2 linked regions of the Caenorhabditis elegans genome follow. The main gene of each other region encodes a partner of the protein of the gene in region 2 in a complex. Each region holds a gene or a part of one and is shown on either strand. Other genes may lie near its edges.

Region 1 (6,469 bases), on a different chromosome or scaffold from region 2:
GTCGCAGAATATCGTGCTCAACTGGCGTCTGCAGTATCTGCTGTGATTTTCGCGAGCAAATATCCTGGAAAAGTGATCGAAATCGAGATAACCGTTCTTTCGGATGATGGTGGTGTTCTTTCAACTGCACTTTCAGCTGTCACACTAGCCATTTCTCATTCTGGAATTGAAAATATGGGATTAATGGCCAGTGTTCATGTGGCAATGAATTCTGATGGAGAATGCTTGACGGATCCATCAACTTCCGAATCCGAAGGAGCCATCGGTGGCGTCACATTCGCTTTCGTTCCGAATCTTGGCCAAACAACGTGTGTGGACATTTACGGACGAATCCCTCTCAAATCCACGTCATCACTTTTGGAATTTGCGAAGCAAAGAGCGTGTGCTCTGGTTCCGACGATTCATAAGGCAATTGTGAACAGTGTGCGAGAGAGAAAATAAATGTGTTGACAATTTTTAAATTTATCTCTCATTCCGAATATCTAATTTAGAAAAAAAAGTTTTTGCCCGATTATTTGAAAATACATTTTTCCGTCTAAATTGAACATTAAATAGAAATATAAAATTGAATTCGACAAAATTTTTTTTGAAAATATTTTTTAGTTCGTGATTTCAAGCTGAAATATAAAAAAACAGATATTCAAAATATCATGCTCAAAAAAAATATGGAAAAAAGAAATATCTTCGTTTGCATTAAATTTTTTTCGAATTCTTGAAAATTTTTTTCGAATTCTTGAGAATGAGAATTTGAAAAAAAAAATCTCAAGCGAAAATATTGAACATTTCCATATTTTTGAGCATGATATTTTGAATATCGGTTTTTTTTTATTTTAGCTCGAAATCACGAATTTCAAAAATTTGTCAAAATTAACATTACCGAATTCACAAGTTTAAAAAGGATTAAAAATTAACATTACCGAATTCACAAGTTTAAAAAGGATTAAACTTGTGAATTCGGTAAAGTTAATTTTGACAAATTTTTGAAATTCGTGATTTCGAGCTAAAATATAAAAAAAAACCGATATTCAAAATATCATGCTCGAAAATATGGAAATGTTCAATATTTTCGCTTGAGATTTTTTTTTCAAATTCTCAAGAATTCGAAAAAAAAATTTTTATTTTTAAAACGCTCAATTTAGACGGGAAAATGTATTTTTCAAAATCGGACGAAAACTTCTTTTTTTTCTAAATTAGATATTCGCCGATACATTTTCTAAAAATTCAATTAATTATCCCCGATTTCACTTCAAATGCACCCCCTTCCATCTTTAATGAATGGGAGGAAAGAGCGCTCCACTGCACACAGATTCTTTGAGTAAATATAATACTGTTTAGTCACCTTCCCTTTTGCCTTCTCCGTCGTTTCTTTCTCATTTCTTTCTTGTTGATTTTGTTGTTGTTTCCCTTTTCATTTTGTTCAACCGTCGTGGTTTTCACAGTTTTCCTTCATTTTAAATACAATGAATTCAGAATTCTCTATGCATTTAATACCCTTCTTATTCCGTCGCTGGTCGCGGTTTTGTATTTTAATTCCTTTTTAATTGTTTTTGTACATTTCTCTCTCTATTTTCTACACTTTCAGAAAAATGATCATTTTGGAGCAAAACAACCGAATTATCGTGGAACTTCTCGAGCAAAAATTTGCAAACGCGAAGGAAGGGTTGGTTTTTTTTTGAATTTTAAACGTATTTTTGTAATTTTGAAAGAAAACATAACTGCATAATTTTCCTTTATTTTTAAATTAAAAACATTACCTTTCCGAAATTATTACGGAAATTTCGTTATTTTTTCAAACGTTTGTTGAAAACAATACCAAGAAAAAGTAAACTTGTGTGCGGTTTTCCCGTAGATATAGGTCTCGCCACGAATTTAGCATTTTCAGGCTTTAAAAAGTGTATGTTTTTATAAAGAGTATAGTAATTTCTCCATGGTTCTTCAACTGAAGTGCCAGAGAAACAACGATGTGTGTGAGAGTAATGTACTTTTTGAAGGCACATAGCGTTAAATTGAAAATGATTTGATCGTGGCGAGACCTTAATATATTGTTACTCTCACTAATAATCACCTTTTTCAGTGGAAAACCAGAGTCGGTCAACGTGACATTCGCCGATTTTGACGGAGTTCTCTACAAACTTTCGAATCCAGATGGCGATAGAACCAAGATAATTGTTAGAAACTTTTTCACAGTCTAATAATTTTTAAAACTAATTTTCAGCTGAGCATCTCGCTAAAATTCTACACGGAACTGCAGCAACACGGAGCGGATGATGTATGTCGCCGCTTTTTTCTGATGAATATTTGATTTTCCAAAATTTCCAGCTCCTTCGTCGTGTGTACGGTGGTCATATGCGTTCAACTCCGGAACAAGGATTTAATGTCACTCTGGAATACAATTTGGCCGATCTTCCGGCAGATACAACGGATTTGGTGCAGGCAGCTTCTGCTTTGAAGAGAAATTGTTTTGCTTCAGTCTTTGAAAAGTATTTCGAATTCCAAGAGGCCGGCCAGGAGGGGCATAAGAGAGCTGTTATTAATTATAGAGATGATGAGACAATGTGAGTACCGGTTGTGTTATGGCGTTATTCGAGAAGTGTCGAAAAATTTAAAAGTGTAGAAAAACTACGCCACAACTGTTTTAAAATACATAAAAACATGTATTTTAATACAGTTGTGGCGTCATAAATGTTTTTGAACACATTTTGCAAAATTACTTGATTAACCCCATTAAACGAGGAAAGTTGAAAAATGTTCAATATTATAAAGATTTGTTCAATTAAAATAATTTCACAGAGAAAGGCTGAAAAGTGGCGTTTTTATTCCAGTTTTCGTGGATTTTCAGAGAATTTGATTTATTATTTAACTATCAAAAGATATAAAAATTTTCGATTTTTTCATATTTCGAAAAAATTCCAAGTTTGCCGGAATTTTTCAATTCCTGCACTTTGCCGTTTTGCCGGTTTTCCGCCCACCCCTGAATCGACTCTCTACAATTTTTCAAATAAATAATTTATTATTAGGTCTCCAAATAAGTTCCGGGTCAAAAATCATAACTTTGTTCGCTGCGAATCGATTTTTATGAAATTGTGGGAATTTATGTTATCAACCATGATCTTTCATTTGACAATAGTCACAAAATTTTTTGGCCGTCCGAAGTGCCCGTACTCATAGCCAATTTTTTCAGGCATTTTTCAGATCTCGCTTCTTTTCAGGTTTCAACTAAGGTTTGTGTGCGGATATTGCTTAGTTTAGTACACAATGTAAGAGAACAAGAAAAGTTTGAAAAAAATCCGTCCAAAAAAATTTTTTTGTCGATCGTCAAAAAATCTTCAAAAAATTTTTTGTCGAAAATTCTTAATTTTTCATACAAAAATGATGTAACCATGTGCAAACTATTTTTACACATACAAAAAATTTCAATTTAGTGCGTCTCACTAAAAAAAAATAACAAAAAACACAGCTTTTTCGAACTATTTTCGAGTTTTTGGAGTATTTCTCAAGATCCAAATTTCATACTCAAATGTTTTGTATGTGTAAAAATAGTTTGCACATGGTTACATCATTTTTGTATAAAAATTCAAGAATTTTCGACAAAAATTTTTTTGTAGATTTTTTGACGAGCGACAAAAAAAATTTTTTTGGACGGATTTTTTTTCAAACTTTTCTTGTTTTCTTACATTGTGTACTTAATTAAGCAATATCCGCACACAAACCTCAGTTGAAACCTGAAAAGAAGCGAGATCTGAAAATGCCTGAAAAAATTGGCTCCGAGTACGGACACTTCGGACGGCCAAAAAATTTTGTGACTATTGTCAAATGAAAGATCATGGTTGATAACATAAATTCCCAAAGTTTCATAAAAATCGATTCGCAGCGAACAAAGTTATGATTTTTGACCCGGAACTTATTTGGAGATCTAATAATAATCACAAATTTGCCATTTTCTCTGAAAAATAGTAAGAATTAATAAAAAAGTGTTTTTCACTTTTTCAATACGCACAAATTTCTTATTTTTTGAACAAAAAATTCTGAAAAACAGTACTTTTTAATTGTAATACTGCAAATAATATACTTTAAACCCCAATGATTTTCAGGTACATTGAAGCGAAAGCGGATCGTGTGACCGTAATCTTCAGTACAGTTTTCAAGGACGCTGACGATGTGATAATCGGAAAAGTGTTCCTTCAAGAATTCCGTGAAGGCCGAAAAGCCAGTCAAACTGCTCCAGCAGTACTCTACTCACTCGGTGAACCACCTTTGGAGCTTAAAGATCTTCCAGAAGCCCGTGTTGGAGACAATGTTGGATACATTACATTTGTGTTGTTCCCACGTCACACAAATAAGAAGACAAAAGACAATACGATTGATTTGATTCATTCGTTCCGTGACTATCTTCATTATCATATCAAATGTTCCAAAGTCTACCTTCACACCAGAATGCGTGCCAAGACCACTGATTTCTTGAAGGTTCTCAATCGGGCACGTCCAGAGGTCAAAGGAGAAAAGAAGACGTTCCATGGAAGAACTTTTCAGACCCAATAAATGTACAAATTATCACAATTGTTACCAAATATTTTTTTTCTGTTTTCGCTTTAAAACCTTATTTATTGCTTTGATTGTAAAATGTTCTTATGAGGTTCGTGAAATTTTGATATGAAATGAATTATTGCAGTAAAATGGAGAGCGATAGTTAAGGCACAATTTGTGGAATGATATCAATTACTATCCGATTTCAAAGAAGAAAAACATGGACGGGCTGAAAATGCATAGGGATCGGAGGAGAGAGAGGAGAACAGGTATTCAGGTAGACCCTAGTAGTTTGACCTACGAAACTTGCGGGAATGGTGTTTACGCGTCATGGCAAACAACGAGGAGTCCACCTGAACACATGTAATGTAATAATGAAGAAATCTCCTAAAAATCATAAAAATTTTCAAATATTATCATTTGGAGCAATTTTACGGGCCTCTAAAGTAGTGAAAAAAAAAACACTATTCAGCTCGATTTTTATCCAGTTCAAAGTGTTTTTTTGCCGGCCTATTTAGGAGGTACTCTTTTAACATAGATTTCATCCAGAAGTCGGGGTTAACTTGAAATACTTCCCTTGTTCTCTCACATGATCTAAAATACTCATTCACATCTTTTAGTTGTCCTGCAAATACGCTTCACATTTTTTTTCTTCAATTTTTTGCAATTCATGTATGCTGAATTCAGAAAAACTAGGTTTAACCCATCAAAAACTATTAGAAAGTGGCAAAAATGACAATTTATGGCAAAAAATCACATTTTTGAAACTGCTCTAAAATGGTAACTTTTATAGTAAGATGACTCAAAATTGATTTTCTGACACTATAAAATTGCCCTTTTCCAATTTCTAATAGTTTTGTACATTTTTCAAAAAAAAATTTTTTGCCTAAATAAAAAAAAGGACAGTCAAAAAAAGGACACAAAAAAAGGACAAGGAGTAGATGGCTGAAAAAAAATTGGGCAAAAATAAAAAGTTGTCTAATTTTGTTAAAAACGGGTAATTCATGTATGCTGAATTCAGAAAATCCAGGTTTAACCCATCAAAAACTATTAGAAAGTGGCAAAAATGACAATTTATGGCAAAAAATGATTTTTTTTGAAACTGCTCTAAAATGGTTAGTTTTATAGTTAAAGGACTGATAATTGATCGCAAAGAACTAAAAAATTGTCTTTTTTCAATTTCCAGTGTTTTGTACAAATTAAAAAAATATTTTGCCTAAATAAATGGCAGTTATTGGATGGCTGTAAAAAAATTGGAAAAAAAAAATAATAAGTTGTCTAAATTTGTTCCAAAGTCTACCTTCACACCAGAATGCGTGCCAAGACCACTGATTTCTTGAAGGTTCTCAATCGAGCACGTCCAGAGGTCAAAGGAGAAAGGAAGACGTTCCATGGAAGAATGTTTCAAACCCAATAAATGTACAAATTATCAAAATTGTTACCAAATATTTTTTATTTCTGTTTCCGCTTCAAAACCTCCTTATTCATTGCTTTGATTGTGAAAAGTTTTTTATTATGAGGTTTGTGAGATTTTGATATTAAATTATTTATTGTAATAATATTGGAGAGAAAGTCAAGGCACAATTTGTGGAATGATATCGATTGCTACCCGATTTCGAGGATGAAAAACATGGACGGGCTGGAAATGCATGGGGATCGGAGGAGAGAGAGAGGAGAACATGTATTCAGGTGGACGCTAGCAGTTTGCCCTACGAAACTTCCGGGAATCGTTCTTGCGCGTCATGGTAAATGGCGAGGGGTCCGCCTGAACACATGTATGTAATCTAATAATGATCATATGTATATGGACATTTTTAGATTATGATTGGTTGAATATTTTAATAGAGATCTCACTAGAGAACACAATTAAGGAAAAAACTGAACTACAACAATCTGGAAGGGGCTTTAGGAAGGGCTGTCTTGAATAATTGAATCAGGGGCAAGT
Region 2 (5,746 bases):
TTACAAAATTTATTGGCTTATTGTTAAGCAGCGAAAAAAAAAACTAAAAATGAAAGGTTATAATCAGAACAAGTAATATTGAAGGAATGTACAACATGATGATTTCAGGTATCCGTCGAGACTATGGCCATCACAGCGTTGCCGATGGATGTTTGGCTGAAAGAACGACTCAAGAAATGGGTGCAGTTATCAGGACATGAAGGTTTGTGTCGAACCAGAGATGAAATGACGGAAATCAGTAACTGAAAAGTTTTACAGGAAGCATTGTACCCGCCACGCCTCATACGTTATACAAGAAACAGTGTGCAAATTGTGGAGAAGGAAGAGCTTATAAGAATATTTCAAAAGACCCAGCACTTGATGGATTCACACCTAAATATTATGATGAACTGGAGAAAAATGAAGAGCGTAAGCATTTTTTTTTTGAAATAATGACAAATTTCCAAACTTTTCTGAACTTTTCATATAATTTAAATATTTTTATTTATTCAGATTTTATCGAAATCGAAGATCTCCTGCAACAGTTCCATGACCCCACAAAAACCGCAATTATGGACATCAAAATCGGAACAAGGACATTTTTGGAATCAGAAGTATCAAACACCAAAAAACGGGCTGATCTTTACGAAAAAATGGTTGCGATTGATAATGACGAGCCGACAGAAGAGGAGAGAAAGTGTGGAGCAATCACAAAATTACGATACATGCAGTTTAGGGAACGAGAGAGCAGCACTGCACAGCTCGGATTTCGAATTGAGGCAGCCAAGGTATGTGAATGGGTCTCGAACCGGCCGTATATATAAAAATTAAAATGTATGCGCCTTTAAAAAGTACAGCAGTTTCCACGGTTCACTTTAAAAAATTGCAAAATAGAGAGGTTTGAAGACTACAGTTTTTTTAAAGGCGCACACTCGTTCATATTTAAATATGTGATCGTGTCGAGACCGGCTACTCTATTGTTGAAGTTTTTGGTCCTTACTTGGCTCAAATTAGAGCTCCAGCTGTGTACCTGACTTCCGCAGTGCTCAAAGCTTTAATCTTTATAAAACATATGTTTTTCCATCCAATTCATGGGTATATTTAGAATTCTAAATGTTAACATAACAAGTTTTCTTCAAACCCTAAACTCTTCAACATCGCATTTATTTCCAGAGGCTCGAAGGCGCATTGGAGAAAAACTTCAAAAAAGTACGAACAGTTGAAGATGTCACAACTACATTTATGGACTTCTTTGGAACTCAAAGAAGCCGTGTAAGACAACAATTAATTGAACGACTGAAATCAATGCGAAAAGCCATCGAACATTCATCATTCTTCAATTCACATGAAGTCGTCGGAAGCAGTATTCTGATTGTTTTTGATACGGAAAAAGTGGGATGCTGGATGATTGACTTTGCAAAGAGTTCACCGGTTCCTAATGGACGAACACTAAACCATCGGACGACGTGGATACCTGGGAATAATGAAGATGGGTATTTGATAGGAATCGATAATTTAGTCAAGGTAAGCTTGGTTTTCTTAGAATTTTTTATTTAAATATTATTAATGTAGCACCTTACTATTAAACTCAGTTGCCTTTTGTCCTATACAAAAATTGTTAACGGAAAAATATTGGAAAGTGTTTCATATTGTTTTAAAATTTTTTAAAGCAAAAATAAAGTAGTGGGATTTAATACTATTAGAGAATATTCGGTAACTAATATAGATAAGAGGTGCGGAAAATCAATTTATATATTTTCAAATTCTTGACACTATATTTATTTTTCTTTTGAATTTGAGTTTATTTAACTAAAAGAAGAGAAATAAACAAATAAAACGAGACGAACCCTAAAAGAGTTCAACTCGAGTAAAAGTTACATAAAAAAAGAAAGAAAAGATAATAGGGAACAGGTGAAACGGGGAGAAAAACGAGAATGGAGGTAAAAGTGTAGTTATAACCGGGGGATGTTGAGATCAATAAATTCACAGAACTGATATGGGGACATAAAAACCGTAACATTTTTGAATAAATTGGAAAAAATATTGGAAAGTGTTTCATATTGTTTTAAAATTTTTTAAAGCAAAAATAAAGTAGTGGGATTTAATACTATTAGAGAATATTCGGTAACTAATATAGATAAGAGGTGCGGAAAATCAATTTATATATTTTCAAATTCTTGACACTATATTTATTTTTCTTCTCATAAATTTTAAATGTTACCAAGTAGTTGAATTATAATTCAAATATTTTCAGATTCTCGAAGAACTCCCCGAGTACGGAGAACATCCTGATGACCAGTTAATGGTCACAGAGGAAGTGATTGCCAGAATGAAAAATACGAAATCGTAGAAGCTTCTACCTCCTTGGATTACTGTAGATAGATGAAAGTGTGTGTCTCTTCATATTCCGCCATAATAATTTCTGTGATTCCCCACCGCTCCTCCACAAAATCCTCATCCGTGTACAATTTGCTATTATTCAATTTTACACCCCCTCCAGCCAGTCCTTGTTTTTGTTGGTTTTTTGAAAAAGAAAATAGATTTTTTGAAAAAGAAAATAGATTTTCACTTTTTAATCTATCGCTTTCCCCTTCTCTTTTCCTTTACCATGGCATAATCCCTAGACTTTCTTCTTACTTTCAGTTGTTTTTTTTGTTCCATTGTGTACGATCCGAGTAATGGATTAATTGATTGGGTACAATTTGTATATTTTTATTCTCAAATGAAGAGAAATTTTTGAAATGTCCAGTTGCAATTTAGATCCAAACAACAATCTATTGAAGTCTTTGCTTTAAAAGCTAGAGCAGGTGCAATTGTTCCCAGTGCATATCGGCCGATTGCCTAGTGAAAAGTACTAGGCAAAACAAAAAACTTATGGCAATTATTTGGGGATTAAAAGAAAATTGTTCAGAAACAAGAATCTATGAAATTTGGTATGCAGCAGAACAAACGTTTTCGAATTTCACAAAAGAGTGGACAATTGGTGCTCTTATTCAAAATTTCAAAGAGACTTCAAAAAAGCTTTCTTATATCATTTTTTAGGTTTTCATTCAGAAATGTTTTTCTATTGTAGATAATGTACAACACTGACTATAAAAAGTACAATGTTGATATTTTTCATCCAGCTCATTTTGAAGATATTCAGGAAGGTTAGTCAATCTGAATTCAATAATTAATTTTTGAATAAATAATAATATTTCAATAAATAATTTTTGAAAATTTTTTCAGAATCTGCAGATTGTGGGCCAAATGTGCAAGAGGTTCGGCAATTTCTGGAGTCAAATCGACTTGAATATGCTCTTCAATCCGTTCTCTTAAACCCACCATTTGGTCATTCTGAACAGGTTTTATTTTTTAATGTCATTTTGCAAACCTCTTTCCCTTTTAGGAACTCAAGAACCGTGCTGTTCTCCTTGTGGCCGAGGTTATTCATGCATTTCGACAGACCGATATTGAAGAATCAGTTCACAAGCTGTCAAATGAAAATGGAGACATTCTGATGAAGTATATTTACAAAGCAATGCAACTATGCTCTGATTCTGCCACGTGTCTTTCTCTACTATTGTGGCATTCTCAATTGGTATCAAAATTTGGGCAGGGATCCATTGTTCGAGTGTTGTCCAATCGACAACGTCTCTAATTTTTTAATGAAGGTACATGTATCTGTTAATTTCTGCAATAAAACTCCAAGATCCAAAGTTTTTTATATGAAGAAGTTCAAATTTACAACAACCAAATATATTAGGAAATAAATAAAATGATTCAAGAAAAAATGAAGATTATCCAGAAGTGCAGAATCCGCAAGTGAGTGGGCATTGAGCTCTCATAAGGGTTGCGTAGGCAGAATTGGTACAGAATGCACGACGGTTTGGACAATCGGAGACTCCTGTAGCTGCGTTGACTTGGTCAACACAGGTGGCTGAAAAGTTCAGACATGGAACGTTATGAACAATTATTAATCTTACTTGAAGCTGTTGTGGAGGAAGATGAAGTTACGGTAGAGCTTGAGTTACATCTTCCACAAGTTCTTGGGCATTGTTGAGTCATGACGGCATAGTAGACTGAATCATTGCACAAAGAAGCTCGTGCAGTACAATCAGAAACTCCGGTGGATGGGTTTACAAGATCGGCACAGCTAGTGGAGCTTGTGGTAGTTGAGTTACAACGACCGCATGTTCTTGGACATTGTTGAGTCATGACTGTGTAGTAGGTGGTGTCGTTGCAAAGATAGGCAAGTGCTGGACAATCAGAGACCCCGGTAGATGGATTGAGGCGATCAGCACACGAAGTTGTAGAGGTTGAGGTTACTGTAACTGCTGAAGCAGTTGTGGTTACTGTAGATCCATCAGAATCTGTTACCACAGCAGCAGTGGTTGAAGTCACAAGGGGAACGGCTAAAAATCATAGGTCACGGTTGAAAGAACCTTGTTGACTTACTGGTTACAGGACAACATTGACCAGCTGCCACATCACAGACCTGTGTCTGGCACACAAGAATGCCACCGTCACATGCTGAAATGAAACAACTCAAACTCTAAAAGTAATGGCAGTCTTTACTTACGTCCTTCAGATTCAGAAGCTTCGCAAGCAAATGCAACCGAGAAAATGGCAAATGAAATAATGAATTGACGGAACATGATAGAATGATGGTTATAGTTCTGCAGCAGTTGCTTTTATATTGTGAGATACTGTCCATCTGTGCAAACAGTTGTCTCTGTTACATTTTTGGAAACAGAATGACCATTGTTTTACATGGAAAAGTACCTGGATTGAAAGCAAACATTTCAATCCTCTCTGCATAACAATTGCTTCAAATTTAGTAAAATGCCCCTCGTAATTAACAAAGGAACAGTTATGATTGAAAGATTTTTATGAAATCGATCCTTACTTTCACGCAGTTCCATCCAATAAAAATATAATTTTAAAGTTTACCATTCTGGGAAAGACAGTTATCTTCTGAGAAAGTATTTTAATTTCATGTTGTTCGGTTAATCCTTAGAAGCAAATTGAAATTGGTTATTGTTGGAAGGACAACACTTCCATCAAAAAATGTATACAGTTTTAGGAGATCGTTGCAAAAATTTTTCACCAAGTTGTTCGGATAGATCAGCCCAATTATAGTTTTGACTTGTAAAATCTTCTTTAGAATTCGATCCTTTCTTTATTTTATTTAAAGCCGATGATCTTTAAAACCACCTTCCCTTTTGAAAAACTTTTGAGAGCACGGCAAAGGCAAATTATTTTTTGCGATAATGTAAAAGTACAATACAGACTAACTTAAGTGAGTGTAACACAGGATTGAGTCAGTCAGCGATAATTTTTTTCAAAACATCATCAGAGTTTCTTTTTAATTAGAACGCTTTTCGTTTTCATAGTTTTTTTTTTAATTTCCTGTATTTTCCGAACATCAATAATTTTTACAGGCGCTGATAAAGTAATTAATTTGTGGGAGCAAAATAGACGTATAGGTACTCCAATGGGTGCTTCATTTCATTTTTAATAAGTTTTTAAATTTTTAAATTATAAATTTAATTTTTTTTAAAGTTCTAGTATGTAAGTCAGACTTTTGTATAAAAAAACAATCATTATAAGGTGAAACTCAACGAAAAATTATTGACGCCAGATTCATTTAAAGTTGTCCAAAAAAGTTTTAATTATTAATTCAATGAAACAAAATAAAAATTGGATATGTTTTCAGAATGTTTGAAAATGAAAAAATAAATATTTTATTACATTTAAAACATTGAGATGTTTTGTTTTGAAATCG

The links. Proteins that work in one complex are often made in the same cells at the same time.
Region 1: C46H11.3 (region 2) and arx-4 share a complex: the UniProt entries of both Caenorhabditis elegans proteins name them as parts of the arp2/3 complex.

What each region holds. Positions count from the first base shown.
Region 1 is NC_003281.10:860,724-867,192, forward strand, and holds arx-4 (putative actin-related protein 2/3 complex subunit 2), read left to right. Parts: upstream 1-1,582; 5' UTR 1,583-1,586; coding exon 1,587-1,660; intron 1,661-2,074; coding exon 2,075-2,168; intron 2,169-2,215; coding exon 2,216-2,269; intron 2,270-2,319; coding exon 2,320-2,555; intron 2,556-4,091; coding exon 4,092-4,539; 3' UTR 4,540-4,673; downstream 4,674-6,469. Other genes in the region: exos-4.2 (Exoribonuclease phosphorolytic domain-containing protein), read left to right, coding at 1-441. UniProt on the Caenorhabditis elegans protein: Functions as actin-binding component of the Arp2/3 complex which is involved in regulation of actin polymerization and together with an activating nucleation-promoting factor (NPF) mediates the formation of branched actin networks.
Region 2 is NC_003279.8:5,038,437-5,044,182, forward strand, and holds C46H11.3 (putative actin-related protein 2/3 complex subunit 5), read left to right. Parts: upstream 1-2,933; 5' UTR 2,934-3,055; coding exon 3,056-3,128; intron 3,129-3,207; coding exon 3,208-3,323; intron 3,324-3,367; coding exon 3,368-3,619; 3' UTR 3,620-3,656; downstream 3,657-5,746. Other genes in the region: lfe-2 (Inositol-trisphosphate 3-kinase homolog), read left to right, coding at 109-202, 259-408, 493-767, 1,153-1,503, 2,234-2,329; C46H11.7 (ShKT domain-containing protein), read right to left, coding at 3,759-3,898, 3,945-4,373, 4,417-4,491, 4,541-4,616. UniProt on the Caenorhabditis elegans protein: Functions as a component of the Arp2/3 complex which is involved in regulation of actin polymerization and together with an activating nucleation-promoting factor (NPF) mediates the formation of branched actin networks.